3 linked regions of the Rhinolophus ferrumequinum genome follow. The main gene of each other region encodes a partner of the protein of the gene in region 2 in a complex. Links are inferred from orthologs where the notes say so. Each region holds a gene or a part of one and is shown on either strand. Other genes may lie near its edges.

What was found. Proteins that work in one complex are often made in the same cells at the same time.
Region 1: CTNNA1 (region 2) and CTNND1 share a complex: the UniProt entries of both Homo sapiens proteins name them as parts of the cadherin:catenin adhesion complex. The link is inferred for Rhinolophus ferrumequinum from reciprocal best matches to the Homo sapiens genes CTNNA1 and CTNND1.
Region 3: CTNNA1 (region 2) and CDH26 share a complex: the UniProt entries of both Homo sapiens proteins name them as parts of the cadherin:catenin adhesion complex. The link is inferred for Rhinolophus ferrumequinum from reciprocal best matches to the Homo sapiens genes CTNNA1 and CDH26.

What each region holds. Positions count from the first base shown.
Region 1 is NC_046294.1:11,450,621-11,457,925, forward strand, and holds the start of CTNND1 (catenin delta-1), read right to left. Parts: upstream 3,014-7,305; 5' UTR 2,776-3,013; intron 1-2,775. UniProt on the Homo sapiens protein: Key regulator of cell-cell adhesion that associates with and regulates the cell adhesion properties of both C-, E- and N-cadherins, being critical for their surface stability.
Region 2 is NC_046307.1:13,646,105-13,653,321, forward strand, and holds the start of CTNNA1 (catenin alpha-1), read left to right. Parts: upstream 1-4,207; 5' UTR 4,208-4,226; intron 4,227-7,217. UniProt on the Homo sapiens protein: Associates with the cytoplasmic domain of a variety of cadherins. The association of catenins to cadherins produces a complex which is linked to the actin filament network, and which seems to be of primary importance for cadherins cell-adhesion properties.
Region 3 is NC_046306.1:2,668,156-2,676,111, reverse strand, and holds the start of CDH26 (cadherin-like protein 26), read left to right. Parts: upstream 1-4,943; 5' UTR 4,944-4,949; coding exon 4,950-5,033; intron 5,034-6,001; coding exon 6,002-6,106; intron 6,107-7,800; coding exon 7,801-7,956. UniProt on the Homo sapiens protein: Cadherins are calcium-dependent cell adhesion proteins. They preferentially interact with themselves in a homophilic manner in connecting cells; cadherins may thus contribute to the sorting of heterogeneous cell types.

The DNA of each region.
Region 1 (7,305 bases), on a different chromosome or scaffold from region 2:
AAGTGAGGACTGACCCTCTGCAAGATAAAGCACTCTGGCCTCTAGCAAGGGCTCATTTTAGTTCTGGATCTTTTTTCTATTCTCTCTGGAGAATGGCAGGGTATTAGTGGTTAAGTCCGTGGACTTTGTAGTTAGTCAGACCAGGGTTTAAGCCTAGCCTTGGTCCCTTATGGGCAATGAGATTTTCAGCAAACCTCAGCTTCTATGAGGCTCAAATTCCTTTAAAACAAACAAACAAAAAAAAACAACAACAGTTGTTGTGGGAAATTAAATAAATGGTTTATGCAAAAGGCTAAGCATAAAAAATGCTAAGCAGTAAAAAAACAAGGTGGGGAGGGCCTGGCAGTTAGTAACGGGGCCATCAAGTATCAAAATAGAAAGCAATAAATTATACAGAGCTAATCATTTTGTTATTCCAAATGAATAGTGATCTATGCTTAATTTATTTGCAGCCATCCTTAGGGAGCAGCTACCTCATAAACCTAAGTGAATTGCAATTACTTGGAGCTTTTCGTTTTTTTCCTAAGATTTCCAATAGTACCAATTTTTATACTACCTGAAAGAACATGTTCTAGCCCTTCTGACTCTCTGTAACTGGAACCCTAAGAAAGGCACTAGAACTCTAACCACCCACAAGAGACCCCCACCTGGAACACAGACCGTACATACCTTAGTCATATAACAAAGAAACCAACAGTATACAGGAGTCAAACAAGGAAAGAAAAATCTGCACAACTCATACTTACTAGTCATTTTTTACCCCAAAACCAAAAGGAGGAGCGAAACAAAAAAAATAAAAGGATGTACTTATTCGCATCCCTGACTATATTTCCTGAAAGAACTGGTAGAGGTGAGGTAAAAGACAATCTTCCATCTTATCATGCAAAAGGCTCTATGGTACATACCAGTCAAAACAATGCCTCAGTTCGGGGAAATAGTCCTGGCTGATAGTTAACTAGGATACTTACTGCGGCTACACAAAGCCCAATATTTAAAGCTGGACCCAAAGCACCACCACTCAGTCATCCAGAACCTATTTTCAAACTGCCTTTGTACTCCTTCTTCAGATTCCCTCATCCCTCCCCCTAAAGGTTGAGTAGGAAACCGACACTCTGGCAGCAACATGACCAACCCTTCAAAGATCCACCAAGAAACCTCTCTAGGCTGGAGTCAAGGCAGAGAGAACATTTGAAAGAAAAACTGGAAAATATTAAATAAGAACTATAACCCAACAGACTGTACACATTGGCTTTTTTTCTTCCTTTTTAACTGCACTTGCTATAATTATGAGATCCAGGTATTAAAATCTTACTGTAGCCCTTGCATAGATTATATTAGTTTAGTTTCCTGTGAAGCCACAAACTTACAAGTATGAAATCATCTTTCAAGAAATAATCTCAGTTCTAGAAAAGAAATTCAAGGAAGTGTTCTCGTCTAAAAACTGGGTTTAGAAGGGGCACAAAATCAGAGATTATAGGTAGATTCCAGTTTAAAGCTAATGAGCAGTTTACATATTAAGGCCCATCTTGTTACAATTAGGGCAGTATCTAATCCAGCTATAATTTTCAGACTGATTCGCATTTTCAAAGGGAGAAGGAAGAGAACACCCAGTTTTCAGCTACTGATGAGTTGGCTATGTAATTATCTAGAATCAGTATTTTTGCAAGAATGCATTTGCAAAAACAAATCTTAAGATTAAATGTAAAATATGAAAGCAGTCATGGGCCTTCAGCTCTTAACAGATTTTTGATTTTATAGCAAACAAAAAACTCACCTCCAAAAAAGAACTGTTTGTTTTAAAATAAGAACTCCCCTTGTGCTTTCTCAAATTCATTCTGAACACTAAAGTTTATATAAGTGTTTTCTCTTAGCCTAACCTTATTTAATCCATGGCCCTTTAAGAGAGCACAAAGCTGAAAATATTTTCAGGTGTATTGCCACTTAGGTGAACTAAAAAGCATGATTACAATTTCCTTATGCCTTTAAGCACATAAACCAAACACTTTCATATTTGCAGATTGAACATCCAACAACACATCTTGCCATCGAAGGTAGTTTTTAGAAGAAAAGGAGATAACAATTCATTTAACATGGATCCATCTGTTTTCTCTTATAAGGCAAAGCAGGGAGGCAACGTCTAGCAGGAGGATGAGGCTCCCACCCACCACACCTGGAAAAGTAAAAGAGGGATCCACCCAGGACAGCAGGGCTGAAACCGATCTGGGCCGTTCAAACTCTAGGGGGGGAACACCACCATTTAAGCTACAAAACTCCCTGCAACTTTTCGCTTCCACAAATCTAATGATAAAAGATGAAAAAAAAAGTTTTGAAACATATGAAGAGCCATATGTATAACTAGCTTCCGACCCGGACAAATTCCTTTCCCAACCCACACGCAACATGCCAAAAAAAAACCAACCTTTGGTTTAGGCTCTGAAAACAGAAGTTTGTTAGCTTAATCCAGAAAAAGATATAAAATCAAAGAACACACCAAATTGTAAATTTACAGAATTGCTCTCACCCTTCTGAATCTATTCATCGCCCTCTATTAGAGAGACCTAGAAGTTTGTTTCTGGGTCTTGAATATTTTACCTTTTTTTAATATAATACAATTCCCCAAAGTAAGTAGAAAAATAAATTAATAATTGCTTAAAAGTCACCCATTAACATAGCAGACTCTCGTCTTTAAATTTCCTCAGGTTACCGTAAGACAAAAATTCGACTTGGCGTATCCTCCTTTACCCGTCTGTACACATTTTTTAAAAAGGCACACACCTCAGATGTGGACTTCTAAAAACCAGTCCTTTAAGAAAGAAACCCAAGGCTTCGTCAATGTGGTGAGAAAGACAAATCCAGCAAGGTAGGTGATTTTTCACGGCCTCTTCCTCCTTTCAGGATCTTTCCTGGTCTTCTTTCTCTCTCTCCCTCTTTTTTTTTTTTCTCTCAGCTCCAACACCTAAAATGGAAGTTGCACCCAGCCAAAGGATAGGGAGCCTGGGTGGTGACAAACTGATCTGGCAGCCCTACCCCCTCGCTTTCCTAAGTGATGTCAGCCCCTGAGAACTTCCAATAGGAGCCAGGCATAAATCAGGGAGCTGATTTTATCCAATAGGAAACTTTATTATAGGAAATGGGGGGGAAGGAGAGAGAGGAGGAGACAGACAGGGGGAAGTTTTATATATATATTTATATTTAAAGTAGAGACCATACAATCTCTGAAGAATTACTGCAGAGCTCTGGTGGGGGCGGGGGGGTAGAAGAACAAGGGAGTTTTAGAATGGCCTGCCTAAGAATCAGTTCCCTTTGATGGTGGTGTTCTTGCTCCCTCTCCCTTCCCTTCCGGGTGGAGAAAGAGAAAAGAGCTGATTTTATATGCCTGCTGCTATTTGGTTTGTTGCTTTCTACCCCAAAGCATTCTCCCAAAGGAAGACAGGAAGGGTGGGAGAGAAAAATCCTAAAAAACAGGATTATTACGTGTTGATTGGGATGGTAGGAGATATCTGAGGTAAACTCTCAATTTCATTGTTTTGGTTTAATTGCATTAGAGCTAATTAGAAAAAATAAAGGTCTGCACTTGTTAACAGTTCTTAGCGTCTATACTTTCAACTAGAAGGAAGCTGAATCCACTGGGCAGTTAAGGCCAATCACTGTCTTCCCTTTTGCCCCAAATTAAAATAATATCGGTTTGAGGGGAAGGATAAATGGAATCCAATAAACAAGCAATACATTTAGAGGCGATAACAGCATGTGTAAGGAAAAGTCAGTCTCACATCAAGAATATTCGCCTGCATTGTGAACTTCAAGTTTAAGATAATCTAGTTCATACATTCTCTTTTTACACTTGACCTAAATTAAGGATTATACAGGTATTCTTCTGAGTAAAGAGTTATCTTAGTATGTTCTATACTGTTAGGTCATGAAGATCAGAGACTGGATTTTTTTTTTTTTTTACAAACTTAACAAAGACTAGTATTTTATGGTCATTCAGTAGTTACTAAACGATGATGGTAATAAATTGAAATTTTCCTTTTCCTATCTTACTGAAAAATCTAAAATCTATCCTGTAGACTGCTGATGAATCTTCATAAAGTTTTCATAATCTAGAATAGTGGTTAAGAGTATAGGTTCTGCAGGCAGACTACCTGGCTTCAAACCTTCCTCCTCTCTACACTTACTATGTGACCTTGGACAAATTATATCTTCTCTATGTGCCTCAGTTTCCTTAACTATAAAATGAAGATAATAACTATCTCTCTCTCACAGGACTGTTGTGAGCATTAAAATACACATAAAGTTCTTTAAACAATGTATGGCACAGTACAAACTCACTAAGAATGAGCTGTTATTATTATCAGTATCTAACCTGCCCAGAAAAGTTTCATTGGCTCATCATTGCCCAATAATAGCAACCAATGATGGAGAATCTATCACGTGAGAGGCACTTTGCACTCATTAGCTGTAACTTCTAAAACACCACCATAGAATACTATGACCACCATTTTCCAGATGAGGAAATCAAGGCTCACTCAGCAAGGGTAAGAAACTTGCCTGAAATCTGGCTAAGAAGTAAAGCCCTCAGCAATCTGACTCCAAAGTCCACGTTCTTTCCATCATCTTACACTGTGATCAGGATAAAGGCTAAGATCCTCATCTGCTTTCAAGGAGCCACATTTATTCATTCAGTATACTAAAGTAACACTTATTAACCATAATCTGACCTTTCCTTATTATCCAAACTGGAATTCCAATTCCACTCCTCCTCAGCATGAATGTGATTTTCTAATCAGGCAGATCTAGTCATTATCCACCCCCTCATATTTGGTCTATAGTCCCACAGACTCCATTAGTCTAAAGTGGCCAAAAAGGACTTCTCTCAGAAGTGCAGGAAGACCAAACAGGCATCACAGCAGTTGTTTGATGGGCTTTAAATGAACTAGAATGGGAAACGAATACATTCAACAGAGAAATGAACAGCCTTTCATTATCTACGAATCTTCCCGTATTTCCTTATCACATCTTCTACCTCTACGTTCCATCTATTCCTGCTCCTCCATAACAAATTCAAAAGCCAAAGATGATTGCCGAAGGAAAACAATCAGTACAAGAAATGTTTGTTGACTGGTTGGTTCCTAGATCAGAGCCATATTCTAAAAATTCTATGATTTTCTAGAAATGGATTGGTCTTGCTTCCCTCACATCACCACTAACAACTTGCAAGTATTTTGCCTTCCGTGTGTGTGTGTGTGCCTGTCTCCTCCATCAGAAGATAAGCTCTATGAAGGCATGAACAGTGTCTTTCTAGTAATAGTGTATCCCCAGAGCTGGTAGATTTCTTGTATACCTCAGAGATGGAAGTATCTCGAGAAGAAGCCCAGGATGAGCCCGTCAGCTCCGAGTATCTGAGCTAGAATCCCTTCAGCTAGAGGGTGGGAAGTTGGTGAAGGCCCCTCAGTGCAGAAGACTGAACCGGGAGTGCTTACAACCTCCAAGCGCTGCACCGATCTCTGCCAGGGTGGTGGCATCCAGCCGCCGCCCTCGAACGCCACTGCCTGTTACCCAGACTCCCTGTCCTCTCGGGGCAGTGAGGTTGAAGTCGTCGGGGGAGGAGGCGTCCCAGGAGAGGTGCAACCGACAGAACGCAGAGAACTTGTCTGACACTCTTGTGCTCAAGAGGAAGGCCAGAGCCTGCCCACCTCCACAGGAAAAAAGCTCTTCACCGTCAAGCCACAGTCAGGGACCTGAAGAGAGTGCGAGTGACCCTGTCCTTGGTCCTACGGTGCCCTCCCCCACCAACTTGTACCCCTCTGTGGATGAGGGACTATTGCCCAGAAAGATCAGACTGAGTCGTTCCAAGCCACCCCCTGATGTGTGTACGTCCAAGCCGGCCTGCATTTTAAGTGCACCCAGCTCAGCCTTATCTCTCATATTTCACAACAGATGAATGAGTGAATGAAGTCTCTTGGCTTACTAGTTATGTAATCCTGGAGGAATCATTTAACATTAATGAATTTGTAGATAACATTAAAAATAAAATCATATACAAATAAAAAAAGAAAGCTCAGTGGTGAAAAATTGTTAAAAATTAAATTTATCTGAAACAGCTATCTCCAAATAAAGCATCACGAGGATTAATATTCATTAGGGGAAAACTGTTTACAATCAGTTAATAGAAAATAAAAAGACTAGTTCCACTTGGGTTATTTTGAGCACCTACTGTGAGCCAGGTACTCTTCTAGTAAATGTCAAGAATTATGAGACAGACAAGTCTCTTGCTCTCAAAAAGTTACTTTCTAGCAGGGGAACAGAGAAGCTTAATAAATAAGATTTCAGATGGAGGACTATGCAGAGATTTAAAACAGACTGATGAGAATGACTCATGGTTTGTTCTAGATTGGACATAGGGACAAACTCTCTGGGGAGGTGACATTTAAGTTGAAATCTGAATGATAAGAAGTGGCCAACAATGAGAAGATATGAGCAATGGTAACTACTAATGTCAGAGCTCTCAAGTGTGGGGCTGAAATACACTGAATCCAGCAGAGCTGTTGGAAATGAGGGAGGGATAGACAGGAATCCGAATATGAAGGGTTCTTTCCATAGGTTAGAGAAAGGAGTTTTTATTAGGTAGAGAAAAGCCTGTGAGAGTTTTAAACAGCAGAATGACATGATCTAACTCATATTTTGAAAAGATCTGGCTACTAATGTGACAAATGGATTAAAGACGGAACAAAGTGAAAGCAAGGAAATTAGTTTGAAGGTCAAGTGACAGTGACATGGAGTTCACTACAGTAGCAGCAGTAAAAATGGAGAGAGGTCAATGGATTGAGGATATGTTTAGAGACACAGCACTGCTTTTGGTTTGGGTTTTTTTTCCTTCCTTTTTTGTTTTGTTTTGTTTATTATGCATTGAATATTACATTCAGTTGTTAGTTTTACCACTCTCAAAGTTTAACTTCCCTATCCACAGTCATCACCACTTACAAACAAAGAGAAACAAGAAACCATTAAATGGTGAAAGATTAAGGAAGAGCTGGAAAATAAAATTGTGTTTAAAAAAGAAATATTAAGATTATTATATAGGGCAGAGTGCTGAGCTGTGATGAATTTACTTCCAAAACAGACTAAAACAATAAATACCTAGGAGAAGAAAATTTTTAAAAAATATATTGTATGATTCCATTTATATGAAATATCCAGAACAAGCAAATCATAGAGACAGAAAGCAGATCTGTGGTTTCCAGGGACTGGGAGACAAGGAAATCACGAGTGACTGGTTATGGTTATGGAGTGAGAAGAAATTTTTTT
Region 2 (7,217 bases):
GCATGGGGCTCTGCTAATCAGGTTCCTTAGTGCCAGTGCTGTGAAGAGTGGGGTTGTGAGTGTCTGCAGCAGCTTCTAAGCCTCCGCTGGAGAGGAAGCATCTAGACAAAGGTCAGGGCCCAGATAGGCTCAGAGGTGTCCTGAGAATGACTCATCCAGGTTAGGAGGCCCATCTCATGGTAACTTGTCCTCCTACCTTCATTTTGGTAGAGACACCCGAGTAGGCCACCTGATCACCTTTGGTGAAATAGCAAGACACCCCTCTTCCCCCCCTCCCCCCCCCACTCCTACTCTAGCCTGCTCTCTCCTCACATCAGAGGACAGAGGGTTCCTTTGGGAGAACATTCCTGTACCAGTGACCCTCACGCAGCATTTATTGAGCACCTCTCAATGCGTGAGAGTCTTTCTCCCACATCACCTGCTTCCCCTTGCAAAATCCCAAACCTACACTTTATTCTGTCACCAAACAGGTGGTGAGCGCCTTTGGCCTGGAATCTAGGGGATCCCTGAGGACTGTTGAGCTGTAAGCCTCTCTGGTTCTCTGTTGGCTGCTACTTCTGCAGCTGCCCTGGAAGACTTCGGGTTCTGTGGCTTTGATCTACACATGGAGTATGTGGGGTGCCCTCATTTAAGGGTAACCAGGTAATATTCTCAGAGAGGAGGCTATGCCCTGAATCCAATCTTGAAGTATTTGTCTCTTGCCCCTCTTGACATCTCATGATGCTTTTGGTCCTACTAGATAACTCAAACTACTGGCAGATCTACAAGATGCTGGGAGGTAAAGATACCCGCCTCTCCCCACAAAACATTTGAGAGAGGAGAGGAGTTTCTGCTATTAAAAGGCATGGAAGGATCCAGCAAATGCCAGTGACTGGTTCATGCTCCCACTCCCCTCATTTCTGGGAACTCCAGGGCCTGAGACACGTTGAGTACCTCTAATGGGGACCTCAGCACTGAGCCTCAACAGCCATCAAACTCACAGCACTAGACAAAGCTGACTTTTCTCCTTCCAGTCAGGGAGAGCCCATATGGGCACCTGTATTCCGGGCCACCAACAAGCTGCTGGTTGGCAAGAGTTTGGGGGCCTCCTCTTTCCTTCATTGTCCATCTTGGCTCCTCAACCTCAGATCTGAGCCATGGGGAACCTTCTCCAATTTGCTGGAACAGGACATCCTAAGCTGCTCCTGTTGTGGTCTGGGCCACCAGCTCCCCAGCCTGCTGCTGCTAGAAGAAGGCTAGGATGTCAGTAATCAGTCCACAGCATCGCTCCACGTGCCAGGCCCTTCCTGGGAGGTGTGGGGCTCATTTGGAAAGAATCACATTTGAAGCAGGCAATTTGCAGAGAGACAGGGAGAATGGAGGAAGGGAGAAGTGCTAGGTGGCCAACTGGGCAAAGCCCTGTTTCAGCCAGGCCATTTGTGCCCATAGTTTCCCGCAGCCCAGCCTTCCCACATGGCCTGCTCAAGCCCGTCTGCCCAGCTGTCATCCCCTTTCGTGCTCCTGAGCCCTGGAGAAATGCCAGAATTTCCCTTCTCTGTCCCTTCTGCCTTCTGGGCCCCAGCTGGCCCATCCCCAAGATGTACAAACCTTCCAGCTGGAGGCTGGCTTGGAAGCAGACAGTGTAAGCAGGGCAGGGGCTAGAACTGTAGGCTTGCGTTCATGATTTAGTATTCCAAAGCCAAGCATAGGTGGGCACACTTAGCGACTGAAATGTCACCTGCTTCCGGGCCCCCTTGCCTACCAGAAAGTCATCTCCCTGAAGTAGACTTTAGACGTAGGAGACCCATGCTTGACGCAGATCTGTCCCTTTTCTAGCTGGTTGTTTTGGGCAAGTCCAGTCCAAGTTGAACCTTCTGAGTCTCCACTTCCTCATCTGTAAAATGAAGTGTTAAGTAGGGTAATTTGAGAAGGAATGAGTAAACCTGGAACTGCAGTACAGATCTTCGTTTTCCTTCTCATGCCCTCTCCCTTTGGGTCCCCTTGGATGCTGGTCAAATAGGAGCTGCTCTTGTCTGCCTGAGGGGACAGGGTGCCCCCCCAAGGCAGCTCCACCCTGCCCAGGAGCAGCCAGAGCCCTGAAACACCCAGGAAGGGGTGTGTGAGCCCATATCTCTGTGAGCCCATATCCAGGGACCCAAGGGGGGGTGAGTGGAAAATAACTTAGGTCAGAGGAGGCACTGTGAGGCTGCAGGTGGAGGTGAGCAGGTGAGGTCTCATTTCCACTGCTTTGTCCCAGAAGCCCCCAGAGTAGGTGTGTTGTGTGTGTGCAGGGCTTTTCTCCTGCCCAGACCTGGCCAGGTTTGAAGGAGGAATCCCCATGGAAGATTGATGTCACGGACTTGCCTTCCCCTCCCCCAACCTCATCCTTGGTGTTTTAAAGAAATTATTTGGACATAGGAGTTAATGGAAGTAGCTTGCTAGAGTGTGGGCAAATTCATCACTGTCTCCTTGCATTCCAAGAGCAGATTTGTCTTTCAGGGTGAGATATCCTGGAGTGACTTCCAAGGTCTGAGAAATATAGGCTCCCTTGGGAGGGCAGGGTTAGGGGCAGCTTGGGTAGGGATTTTGGGAACCTGGGGTGACTGCAAAGTGGCCTTAGGGATGGGCCGGGAGGGCTTTCCTGTTTGTTTTTCAGTTGTGGAGGGAAGGGAGGCAGAGGGTGTTGGCATTGCTGGGAATCCTGCTGACCCCACCCCCTGCAGGCCACTGCTCAGGGTGAGGAGGGCTGCTTTTGCAGCTTTTGTTGGCAGTGATGAAAGAGGGGCAGGGGGGCTGTTTGATGGGGTAGTGCTCTGGAGAGAAGAGGACTAGCGCTCTTCCCTTTCATCTCCTCATTGGAGCAGCGCAGCACTTCCTGAAGGTGGCACTCAGGGAGGAGCTCTTTTGAAAGCACACGGACCTAGTGCTGTAAAGCGTGGAGGCTGGGAGGTGGGGGGATGTGAGCAGGGAAGATAATCATGCAGGTGGGGGGCAGAACTGTCTGGGTTAAGAGAGGACTGCTGCCCCCCCGCCCCCACAGACAGGCCTTCCCCACAATCTGTGTGTGTGTGTGTGTGTGTGTGTGTGTGTGTGTGTGTGCCCTCACTCCTACATTGAATGCGAGCACAGACATACAGCTATGAAATGATTAGACGGAACATGACGAGAGACTGCGGAGGCTTGTTCCCCACCTCTCCAGCCAGTCAGATGGTTTTCCTCAGATGTTTATTTGGATTTTATTAGGTTGGTGCAAAAGTAATTGCGGTTTAAAAGGTTAAAAATAATTGCAAAAACCGCAATTACTTTTGCACCAACCTAATATTTGGTTATCTCTCTATTCTTCATTCTTGCTTCTTCCTCTTCCCTTGGTTTCTCAGTGTCCTGTCTCTTCTCTCTCTCTCTGAACTTGAAAATAGGAAGTGTTGGACAAAGACCCTTTCTACTAGCTGCCATTGTTCAGCATGTAACAAGATGGATTTAAATCAGATGAAAGAAAGAACTAGGAGTGGGGAGTAGTGGGTGGCGAGGAGAGAAGCCGACCACTAGGACCGGCTGTGGAATCCTATAGGCTCATAGACTGTTGGAGCTAAAGAGACCTGACGGACCTGCAGACAGGGAGCCAGAGGTCCTTTTGCAAACAGCTATTATTGTCTCTTATAATCTGTATCATCAGTGGGAGTTTTGGAGGTGTCCCACTGGCACCTGGGGGAGTTCTGGGGAGAAGTGGGGTCTCTCCTTTGCTCACAAGGCTGCAGAGCCCCCACTGCACACTCACTGAGATGATTCTCTGAATGTGGAACAGCCTCTTCTCTCGAGGCTCAGAGGAGGCAGGGATTTTGCTACGCAGAACATAACTTCTCCTGAAGCCAGGGACCTATGCAGCCTGGAGAGCCCTCATCAGAGCTCGGGCTGGTGCCCGGAGGCCAGGCTGCAGGGCCCTCATGCGTTGTCCTCCCAGATGGATTGCTCTCTAGACATTCCCCTCCTCGGTGACCCCTGGGGAAGTTCAGCTCTGATTAGGCTCTGGCAGTGTATAAAGCGGGCAGCCTAACGCGTGTCCCCTTTTGCTGGGGCAACTGGAATCTGCGTTTAACACTCCTTCCTTTCTTCCCCCCACGACGGGCTTCAGCGAAACCAGACAGCAGGGGGCACTCGTGAGTCATCCCAGGAGAAGATTCAGGACTGCTGTCTGCAGCCTGGACTCTGAGAGCACTGGAAATTTTGCCTGTCCACGTGTCAATCTGAGGGTAAGCAGGGCAGACCCTTTGAGAGCTGGAAGCAATCTTTTTCCAGCAGGCAGAGACAGAGACTTGAGAGAAAACTGGCTTTTCTGACTCGTCCCTGATTCCTCAGGCTAGAAGGAACCTGACTTCTGCCTCTGGGAGATCAGCTAGTAGGGCAGGTCTCCATCCAGGCTCCATGGCCAGTGCCAGATGGGGCCAGTGGTAACTCCTGGCCCCTTGCCAGCCCCAGCAGCTGACCCTGGTTTGGCTATCTTTGGGGCGCTGAATTTTCTTCAGAATGACTTCCAGTTGAATCTGTGTGGCTATGGCCCATGCCTTGCCCACTAGGTTCTTCACAATTGGGGTGGGGGTGGGGGGCTTTTTCTTTCTCCCTGATCTGACGCAGTCCTCTGTGACTGTTCCTGGACTCGTCTGCGAGTCAGATGGGGATGAGGTGAGGCATGGAGTGCTGAGCAGGTCGGTGGTACACACGTGGTCCTTTCCTGACCTGTAGCTGACACAGCCAGGGCTTTCTGGGCAGCAGCTGTTTTCAAGGCCCCACTTCTGTTTTCTTGCCAGTTGTCTCCCTCAGATGTCCTCATCTCCACCCAGTCATGCTGAAGCACCGACCCTCAGGAATTCCTCCTTCCCAGTGACAGAGCCTGTGTGGGCATTGATTTACGGGCACAGGGAGGGTAAGATGCCTGCATGCAGTGCCCAGAAGAAACGCCTGGCCTTTGGCTCTGGTACCTCCATGTCCTGTCTGTTCACAGAATGGGGAGAGTCCAGGCCAGGGTGCTAGTGGGGAGGCTGGGTTCTCTGGACTGGAGACAAAGGCTTATTGCCAGCAGAGCTGAGGGCACAGGCCCAAGTTTCTGCATTTATTCTGGGGGAGGACAAGTCCAAGTTATCCTCGAACCTGGTTTCTGACATCAGAGCCCAGAGTCACTGGTTCTCCCTAAAGTCCAGCTCTGTAGGGCCTCAGGGTTACTTTGAACATTAAGGCAGCAGGTCTTCCAGACTATGGAGGAGGAGGGTTAGAGGAAGGGAACGATAAGGACAGTGTTGGGGGCCCTGGCCAGGTCTGGCATGAGAACTGCCTCCTCTCCCTCAGTGTTTTCAGGGTCCTGACAGCCCCAGCCCACCCCCACTGAGTCATGACCTTTCAAGGTCTCTAGGGCTGTAGAGGTTAGGTGTCTCCCAGCTCTTTCAACTAGGGCATTTTCCCCGAGGTTTCCCCTAAGTTCTTCCAGCTGCAGTTTTAGCCCACCCTTTAGCTTGTGGCACATACTGGAGACCCCTGGGACACCCACCTGTGCAATTCGGGTGTGACTGGACCAGTGAGGCACAGATATGTGGAAAGGTCTGCGTCCCAGAGCAGGCTATTCATGGTTCTCAAAGGTCAGAAGTGTGACTGGGCCCTGGCGGAATGTTGGTGTTTTCAAGAAGGAAGACGGTGAGGCTTTGGGAGCAGTCTGTAGTTGGTCAGCCATATCTGAGGTCTCCTTATGCAAATAAGGCCTCAGCTGGACCAAGAAAAGACCTTTCAGAGTCACTGTGGCCCCGCCTATGTGGTCCTCTCATCCAATCTCTTGTGTTGCCTCCCCGAGCCTGGCGTCTGGCCCTCTGTGTAGGGACAAAACCTTTTCCATTCTAAATGACTGTTTACCCCTTTTCTCCAGTGTGCTGGGCGTTAGTGGGACATCATCCTGCTAAGGGAACCTCAGGCTCCTGAGACGGAAGTGAGGGAAGGCAGAAGTCACAGGCTCATTCCTGATCTAGAAGTGAGTTGGAAATTTACTGGCACAGGTGTTAGAAATGACCACTCCTCACCCACCCACCTACCCACCCACCCACCCACCCACTACCATCCCAGAAGCCTCATTTTCATAGCCCCTCCTGCTTAGGGAACTAGGAGTTTGGACTAGCTCAGTGATGGCTCCCTGATACGGAATCTGACGGCCTGTGGTGAGAAGCGGGATATAGAAATCATAATAATAACAGCTCCTATTCTGAGCACTTTCTACGGTAAGGGGTTGGTCTAAGCATTTCACATGCTTTATCTTGTATAATCTTTAAACAACCCATTAAATCATGATCCCTATTTTACAGATGAGTAAACTGAGGTACACACTTAATGACAATAACAATTAAAATCGTAATAATGATGATAAAATTTTAACAGCTTTATTTTTTTAAAAACTGATCCATGAGCAATCACATTATGTGTATATTATGAAGTCCTGGGAATTCATTATATCATCCCCATTTTCAGCTAAGGAAACTGAGGTGGAGAGAGAAGTGACTTGCCCAAGGTCACAGTCTTAGAAAGTGACCAAGCAGGAGCCGAACCCACTTCTCTCTGATTCCAAAGCAGCCTGTGCTCAGGATCCCTTAGCAACACTGCCTCCCAAGGGGCCATCATGGAGACAGCGGGTGGTTATGGAAGAGAGTTCCGTTGGCTTTTAAAAGCAGGGTGCTTGTAAACAAACAAACGAAATAACAAAAAATAAAAAAAGATAAAAAACCAAAAACAAACCAAAAAAGCAGGGTGCCCATGGGCGGGGCCCCATTACCTTTCAAGGTAGTAGCCGTGACATCTGCCATTCTGGGAAACTGTGGGAGAAGCACCCCTCATCCCCACCTGACAGTGAGGGAAGCTTTGATGCTGTCTTCTCATCTACCCAGGCTGTGTAAACACAAAAACTGCAGGAAAACAGATGCTGGAACAGGCTGGACGGGGAGGCAGGGGATGTTTGCTCTGGCCCGAAGCTTCTGCCTCCCTGCTCACCCTGAGATGTGTGCCCCCACCTTGGCAGCCTGTCCTGGGGCTGCTGTCAGTCTCTGCTCTCTTTCCCTCATCACTGTGAATCTTGCTGGGCTGCAGTTGCCTTGGTAACTTGATGGGAAGCTCTTGAGGTTTTCTGGAACCAGAAAGGGCTACGGAGAGAGAAACCGGGCTCTGTTAGGCTGCTGGTCACAAAAGGGAAGAAACCATCCCAGTGCTCACTGCCC
Region 3 (7,956 bases), on a different chromosome or scaffold from region 2:
TGTAGGTTCTGCACTTTTTATTCTCTCGGTGTCAATATTAAAAGTAGCCCACACATTTCCAGGCACGTCGATTAAATTAGGGATTTTTTTTCCCCTCTGGGATTCTTCCTCTTCTATATCAAGAATAGGGTATAAGGAACATAAAAGATCAAGTTCAGTTTACTTAGGAAATTCTAAGGTGAGGTCTCCCTTGGAGACAAAAATGTATTAGCCCTTTGAATTTAGAAAGATCTCTACCTGATATATACAGATCACAGCAGAAAGGAGTGGTTTTCAGTGAGAGGACCCAGAGTATTTGTACTGGCTGAGATCAGAACTCTCTGAATTTTATTAGATACCACCACTATGGAAACTTCTTTTTCACTCCAAGGAATTGGCTATCCTGTAAGAATGGGGTTTAAAGTAGAGAGTGTAGCTCTGATATCTGTCAGAATTTGGCAGTTTCTCATTCATTTTCATTTTAGTTTTCCCTTGACTGTGTAAGGGAATTACTGGCCGCAGTTTACCAAGAGCCTCTTGGAGTCCTGTCAGCTCTCAAAGGGACCCCTGTGGGGCCTCCCCTGGGGGCCGACATGGAGCATTTGAGTTGACATGAAAGAATTTGCCCAAGACATTTGAGGATAATCTTTTATCCAGTATCCCCATTGATTACGAAAGGGACCCTGACCTCGGGGGGGCCAGCATTTTGGCGATGGACCCCTAGGTGGGTGCAACCTGGCAGCCCAGGTGTTCGTTCAGTTGTCTGGCTGTGAAGCTGTGCAGCTAAGCGGCTAACAGCTGAGCAGACTTTTGTTTATGGTCTTGTTCCAAAGTCCTTTCCAAGTATTCAGCTGTGGTTACAAGTTCAGTCATCCTGGTGGCCTCCCAACCTATTTTTGCCTTTTTATCAATCCATTAATATAAGGAGATAATCCATTTATAGTCAAGAGCAGGCTGGCTGACATCGTTTATGTAAGGGACTCAGAGCGCTGAAGGAGGAGAGCCTTGGAAAGCCCTTAGGTCAGCCAAAGTCCCCTTCCTTTTATTTGCCTGTCTGAATGATACACCAGTCATTGTGGACAGAGAAGAGTCCAGAATCTCTTAGAAGCTCAGCGGCTGTATTGCAAGCTTTCCTGGTACTTAAGGGAGACCAGGGACCACGTGCATAAGATGGTAAAGACCTGGCAGCCCAGGGTCACAGGCCCCGATAAAGACTCCCAATTCTTCGGGAAACTTTGGGGGACCATCCCTGGGTTTAGAAAATTCTTTAACCATAGTTCTTTGACCACAGGCCCTTATTCTTTAACCACAGGCCCTCAGTTTGGTGTTTGATCAAGGAGTGAAAGATACCTGGAGAGGGGTCACCTGCAGTCTCGGTCGTCTTATTTTAGTAGGCAGCTGTTTAGTGGTCTCTTCTGAGGGGAAAGGCAGTTCAGAGGGAGGATGAGGACTCGGGTACAGGATAGAGGGGGTGGCACGAGGCACGTCTGTCTTATGGTCTTTGGTTTAGGTGCCTCTTGTGTCTTTAATTTTTCATTAGCCTTTTGTAACAGATTCTTCAGTGAAGCTACTTTGGGGCTGTTGAAGGCTTCTGGAAGCTTCTGCACACCCATTAAAATAGATATCCCATTCTCTTGGTTTGATTTGGGATCCCTTGCTTTCAAGGCACTTCTTAGTGAACGATCTTGATTAACTGGGACATTCCCTGTAATGGCCATTGTAATTCTAGGTTGTCTTTAGAAAGATTTTGCCATTTTTGTAGGTGTTTGTAGCTCCTGGGACCATAGTTAAAATAAGTAAAGGCGCCTGATGGTGGCACACTCCACTCTTTGGAACGTAAGGATTCCATTTTAGCTCAGCTTGGGTTTCTTGTAGCCAGTTTAACACCTAAGAGGGATGTGTTCCTGGGCTGGGGACTGTGTGATGTATACCTCACGGCATGAAAATTTTCCTGTGGTCGGGTTGTGATCTGTGTCGATCTAACTCGTTGTGTGACCAACTTATGCCAACTCGGAGTCTTAGAGTTAAGTGATGAACGCTCTAACAGCTTTTATGCACTTGAGCGGTGCCGACCCATTTTTGCCTTTGAGCTTATGTGATTCCCATTATCAATAGACTTCACCACATGTGCACACTGCATCAACACGCCAGCAGTAATCAGAGAGACGTCACTGCGACTGGCCAAGGAATGGCCTTCGGTATATGCCACCAGCAGTTCCCAACATGGAGCTGTGGACTGAAACCGCCGACCCCAACAAATGGGGACTTTGGGTGAACCAAGGGCTAGGGACTAGGGTTCTGGTGGGACCATCTGCCAGCTCAGGCTGATCCACAAAGCCCTGGACTGGGACATGGGCTAACCAAGGGCTGGGGACTGGCACTCTGTCAGGGCCCTCTGTCAGTCCAGACTGACCCGTGAATCCCGGACTGGAAAGCCAACTAGACTGGGAGCCCACACAAAGAGAGTGGAGCTGTTACCGAGAGGAACTTACCCACAGCACTCGGAAGTGGCAAGAAAGACAGAGAACTCCAAGGGATCAGGGATACTAGTGCCTGTGTTTCTTGTCCCTGAAGCCATCAGAAGTTTCCTTCGGATTCTACCACTGCCACCAAATCTGTTAAAAAACAAAATTCAACTCAGTAAATTATAAAGGTCTTATTGGCTTTATTCAGCAATTCATGAATCGGGCAACATCCCATCTAGCAGACAGAAAGAAGCCCAGAGGAGCTGGACAAATGAAAGGCATTTTAGGCAGAAGGGGGCGGGATAAGGAAGTTACACTGGCAAGGTCACCTTCCCTTAGGGGGTGGCGGGGGTTGGGGGCGTCTATCAGGCAGACGACCTCACGACTGCTGAGCCGGTCATTCCAGACAGATTGGTTCAAGGCTCCATTTCTGGGTGAGGTTGAAACCATAATTAAGTTAGGTATTAAACCTTGGTTTGGAGATGTGGGGTGGAGCACGTGTGACTCCATTTTGGGCCTATTGTCTCTTTTATAACACTGTCAAGACAATTTGAGCAAACCGATGAGGATGGATGACTAACCCCCACCCCTACCCACACACACAGCCTACCAGTTGCAACTGCTGAAATGAAAATAGAGACAGTGGAATCAAGATTAGAGAAATAGAGGGCTTGTTCCATTGGTACTTAGTGGATGGAGTTAACACTGCACACGCTTGTTGGTTGTGAGCAGCTTTCTACAGTTGGGGAGGGAGAGTCCTGGGGTTGTTACACTGCTGTCGAGTTCTCCCCTGTAACACCCCCAGGAGGCGGTGCGTGGTAGGGGTGAAGGCTGTGCGCCTGGATTGGGTTGCTTAGCATCCTAACCCAGGCTCGTCCACTTCTGGCGGAGGCTCTCGGCTAACTACTTGACCTTGGTTCTCACATTGGCGTAAGTTGGACTCTTCCAGGGAGCTGGAAAAGTCCCAATATCTGGATGCCACCCCCAGAGGTTCAGACTGAGCTGATCTGGGGTGTGACCCGGGCATCAGGGTTTTAACCTAACCTTGTTAAGCCTCATTTCTTCCCCTGAAAAAGGATTTGTACTAACCTGCCCTGGAGGTTGTGAGAGTAAATGAGGAAACGCACGGAAGAGCTTGGCACAGTAACGGCTGAGCCGGTGTGTCCGTATGTCTGTGTCTTTCTGTTTTTCTAGCTATAGTATTGTTATTGCTGCTGCTTTTTTAATCTGGAAAATTCTGAATCTAGTTATCTTAATAAGACGTTAGCATTTATGCTCTGCCTGATTAATTCACTCAACCGCCTCATTCAAGAACAACAGAGCTGGTGAGCTGGTCGACTGCAGAAGGTGAGGACGACACTGAGGTTTTGTCTCCTCTCCAGCCTCAGTTTCTCCTTCGGTAAATGAGGGTGTGAGACAGGGTGTCTTTGAGAGTCCTTTCAACACGAAAGCTCTGGAAGTTTATTTTGCTGTGATAGCACATAAATGGCACAGCGGTAGTTACATAAGACCTGGCTAGACTGCTGAAAAAAAGGTGTGAGATGGTGAACGACGACACTTTGCAGGAGACGCCTGAAATTCCACGTCATTGTGTGTACATGTCTGCGTGTGTGTGTGTGTGTGTGTGTGTGTGTGTGTGTGTGTGTGAGATTTCCCCTCTGTGTATGCACACCTTGGAAATTCACTTGTCTGGGTGATGCAAAAAGACTAGAAACTTACGAGTATAATGGCTGAAATCGTTTTGTAAGTGCCCTTATATTTCCCATCCTTGCCAATTTTAAGCAGTTAGTCCAAAGAGGACAACTTTTAAAAGATTTACATCTATAATGTGATGGGGGAGAAAACTTTATTGAGAATCCAGAGAGCTTTTGCTTATGAGGGCTATATTTACTGGTACTTTATTTCAGATGGGGATTTTTAAACCTGTCTCTCAATTCATTAAATATAACAAGAATAAACCCATTACATGTTAATATAATTACCCATTTTTATGAAAAATAGCCCTGTTTTTAAAAGTTCCATTTAGTTTGAAGAGTGGCACTGTCTCTGGTTCTCTTGAATGGACAGTTTACTGTCCTGCTTTGTTAATTAACGTAACAGTAGAATGTTATGGTTTTAAAGGCCCCCACCACTGGTAACACCAGATCAGAACTCCTTTGTCAGTTCTGCAGTTACAGAAGAGAAGTGGTAGTTACCGTGTTTCCCCGAAAATAAGTTCTAACCAGAAAATAAGCCCTAGCATGATTTTTTGGGGTGACATCCCCTGAACATAAGCCCTAATACGTCTTTTGGAACAAAAATTAATATAAGACCCGGTCTTATTTTCGGGGAAACACAGGATGAACGGAGGCGTCAAGAACAAGGAATTATATTTATCAAACTAAATGCAGACATTCTTTTTTCCACTCGAGTTCTAGAAGGTCTGTGTGACTTCAGGCAGTTTCTACCCGATTCTGATAAGTATATTCCCCACTAATTAATGCCATTTTAATTTTTAAGGTCAACATGATCAACAGCTTCCAACAAGAGAATGATGATCTTACCAATCAAACACAGGCGGGTTTGGAAGTCAGTTTCTTAATAAATCAAGTGAGACTACGCTTTGCTTAGAGACTGGATTGCAATTCCACGTTTTTTAGTGCCCTGTCGATGTTTGGTTGGCAGGAAACGAATTAGTAACTAGACGTGGGCTTTTAGAATCTTGAGGGACTGCCCGAGAACTGCAGATGGTGCTTTGATGTCTAATTACAGGATGAGCAATCTGCGAGCATCAAAAATCAGCCCAGAGGTTTATCCACGCCATTTGCTCCTTTACGGAATAAAAATACAGTGGACTTAATATTTCTAGCGGGTGGGTGTGGGGCAGCAAACCAACCACCATCCTCACACCACCTTAGGACCATTTCCTCCCTGTTGTTCTTGTGATAAACTCACTTTCTAGCTAAGTTATTATTTCTTTTAAATGTACATTTTTCTGGATAGAAATGAATGTGGCTATGAACCAGGTTCAATTGTAATAGACGGCAACTGTACAGTACATATATAAATAGAATACAGACAAAGCCACCCTGTTAACGTCTGTCTATATTCTCTTGCCTGACAAATCTCTGAGCCCAATGTCTGAGTCTGTCTCTTTCTGCCTCTGTTACAAGGGAGATTGGTAGACAGAGAGGCGTTACCTATCCAGCACTGAATGGAGACGTTCTCATCAATGATTTCAGGAAGACGGAGACATAGAGAGGGAATAACTCTCTCATTCATTCAACAGCTATTTGCATGTCTACCACAGGACAGGCGTAAGCACATAATAAGTACTGCTCGTTAATGCTCTGTCTGCACAGCCCCTAAAATTACTTCATGAACCATGTAAAACCATTGGGTGGCAGATGCCCCTCCATGCAGAAACGACCAGAGTTATTACGAGAACAGGCACTTGGAATTTCTCAGCATTGAAGGCTGTTGTGAGAATGAGAAAGAGAATTCCTCCCAAGGGCTAGCCCAGTGCCGGCAAGCATCACCACCCACCTCCTTCTCACCACTGTCACCATCATTTGCAGGGAGAGAGCCACCAGTCTCTGCGGCGATCCAAGAGACGATGGATTATCAGCACCTTGGAACTGGAGGAGGAAGACACAGGACCCTTCCCCAAGTTTGTTGGGGAGGTAAGACAGCTATGCTTACGGCACGGCCCCCATCACCCTCTCTGACTAGGCAGGGCCCCTCCGGAGAGGACGAAGTCTTGACAGGCTGCGTGCTGGTGAGGCCAGGGAGTGAAGCGGTGGGAGAGGCCCTGGGCTGGGGCTCGCGTCGTGACGGTGGGCAAGCCACTTCTCCGGGCGAGTGTCACCGAGAGAATCAGAATCGTCTGTGGCAACACGATGGCTATTTCCAGGCTGCAGCCCTCTTTTATTTGGCCCATGCAGTCATTTTTTAAAAATTCATTATTCAAAAATAAGGAGATTGTAGTCCCTAGAGGCGGGGGGTGGGGGCAAAAGGGATAGTAAAATAAAAAAGAAAGTAAAACAGTAGGTGCCGGGGGTGGGGTGGGGATGAGGTGCTGGGGAGTCAATGTTTAAATGGTACAGAGTTTCCGTTTTACAAGATGAAAAGTGTTCTGAGACGGAGGGTGGTGATGGTCGCACAACAATGAGATGGTCCAACAATGAGAATGGACAGAATGCCACTGAACTGCACGCTTACAAATGGGGAAGAAGGTAAATTGAATGTTATGTGTATTTTACAATTAAAAATGGAAAAGAAGAGATTGTATTATAATTCTACACTTCTGGAGACTTTCTAAAAATTGGAAGCTCTGCCCACACGGAGCCTGCATTCTCACACAGCAAGGAGGAGATGGGGCCTGGCTTACCCAGGACGTCCCACTGTCTCCCTCGCTCGGACGCTGAGTACCAGCTGAAGCACCAGAGAAGACACTCGGTGATGTTGGAATGCTGGAATTTTCACACCTGCCCCATGCAGGTCCTTTTCGTTCCCTTCCTGACCCCAATGGGCCTTTGAATTATGTACTGAGTCCCCTACAGCTCTGACATTCTCTGATTCCTAGAAAACACTGAAACATCATACATATTTTTGCCATGTTTATAAAAATAGTATATGCCTACTATTAGAAAGAAAACATCTACAGGAAGTCTTCAAAGCTCAGGGGTTAGAAGTATAAACTCCCCGCGTCAGGGGGACTGCATGGGTTCGAATCCCAGACGTAGCACACCCTTCCCACGTGGGAGCCCCAACCTGCTCCCCACCAGTGGCACCCTTGAGAGTGCTGGCATCACAGGGTTGTTTCACAGGTTCAGCAGGTGACGGCAAGAAGCCCCACGGCAAACTGGCTCACTCAGCTTTCTAAAGGTTTGCTGTGTGCCTCACGCCTCTCGACCTGGACGGAAGGATCCCCTGTATTAACAATCAGTACATATTCCTGCAGACACTTCTCTCCATTTACTGACGTGAATCTGTTAACAGAACGGGACTATACGATGCACACCGACCTTCAGGTCGCCTCTCCTGCTTCCCCACGTGTCATACCCGTTTTTACGGCCGTTCACATACACCCTGAAAAGCTGCCAAGTCCCATTCTAGGTGACAGGGTACTGTTACACGACTTGTTCCATACGGGTAGACATTTATGTTGTTTCTCATTTTCACCATTAAAAGCCAACTTGCCACCATATTCCCTGTTCCTGCATCTTTGTATATCCATTTATTTCTTTAGGATAAATCCTCAGACGTGCAATTGCTGAGTCTGGTTCTTCAAAAACGCCTTTGAATCTGAGCCTTGATATTGGACGTGCATAGTGTTTTTTTTCTCATCCTCATCTTCGTTTTTTTCTCCTTGCAGCTGTTCAATCATATGTCTGAAAACACGTCAATGTATTTCATCAGTGGACCTGGTGTGGATGAATACCCAGAGATTGGTTTATTTTCTATAGAAGATCATATGAATGGAAAAATATATGTGCACCGCCCTGTTGATCGAGAGAAAACGCCATCTTTT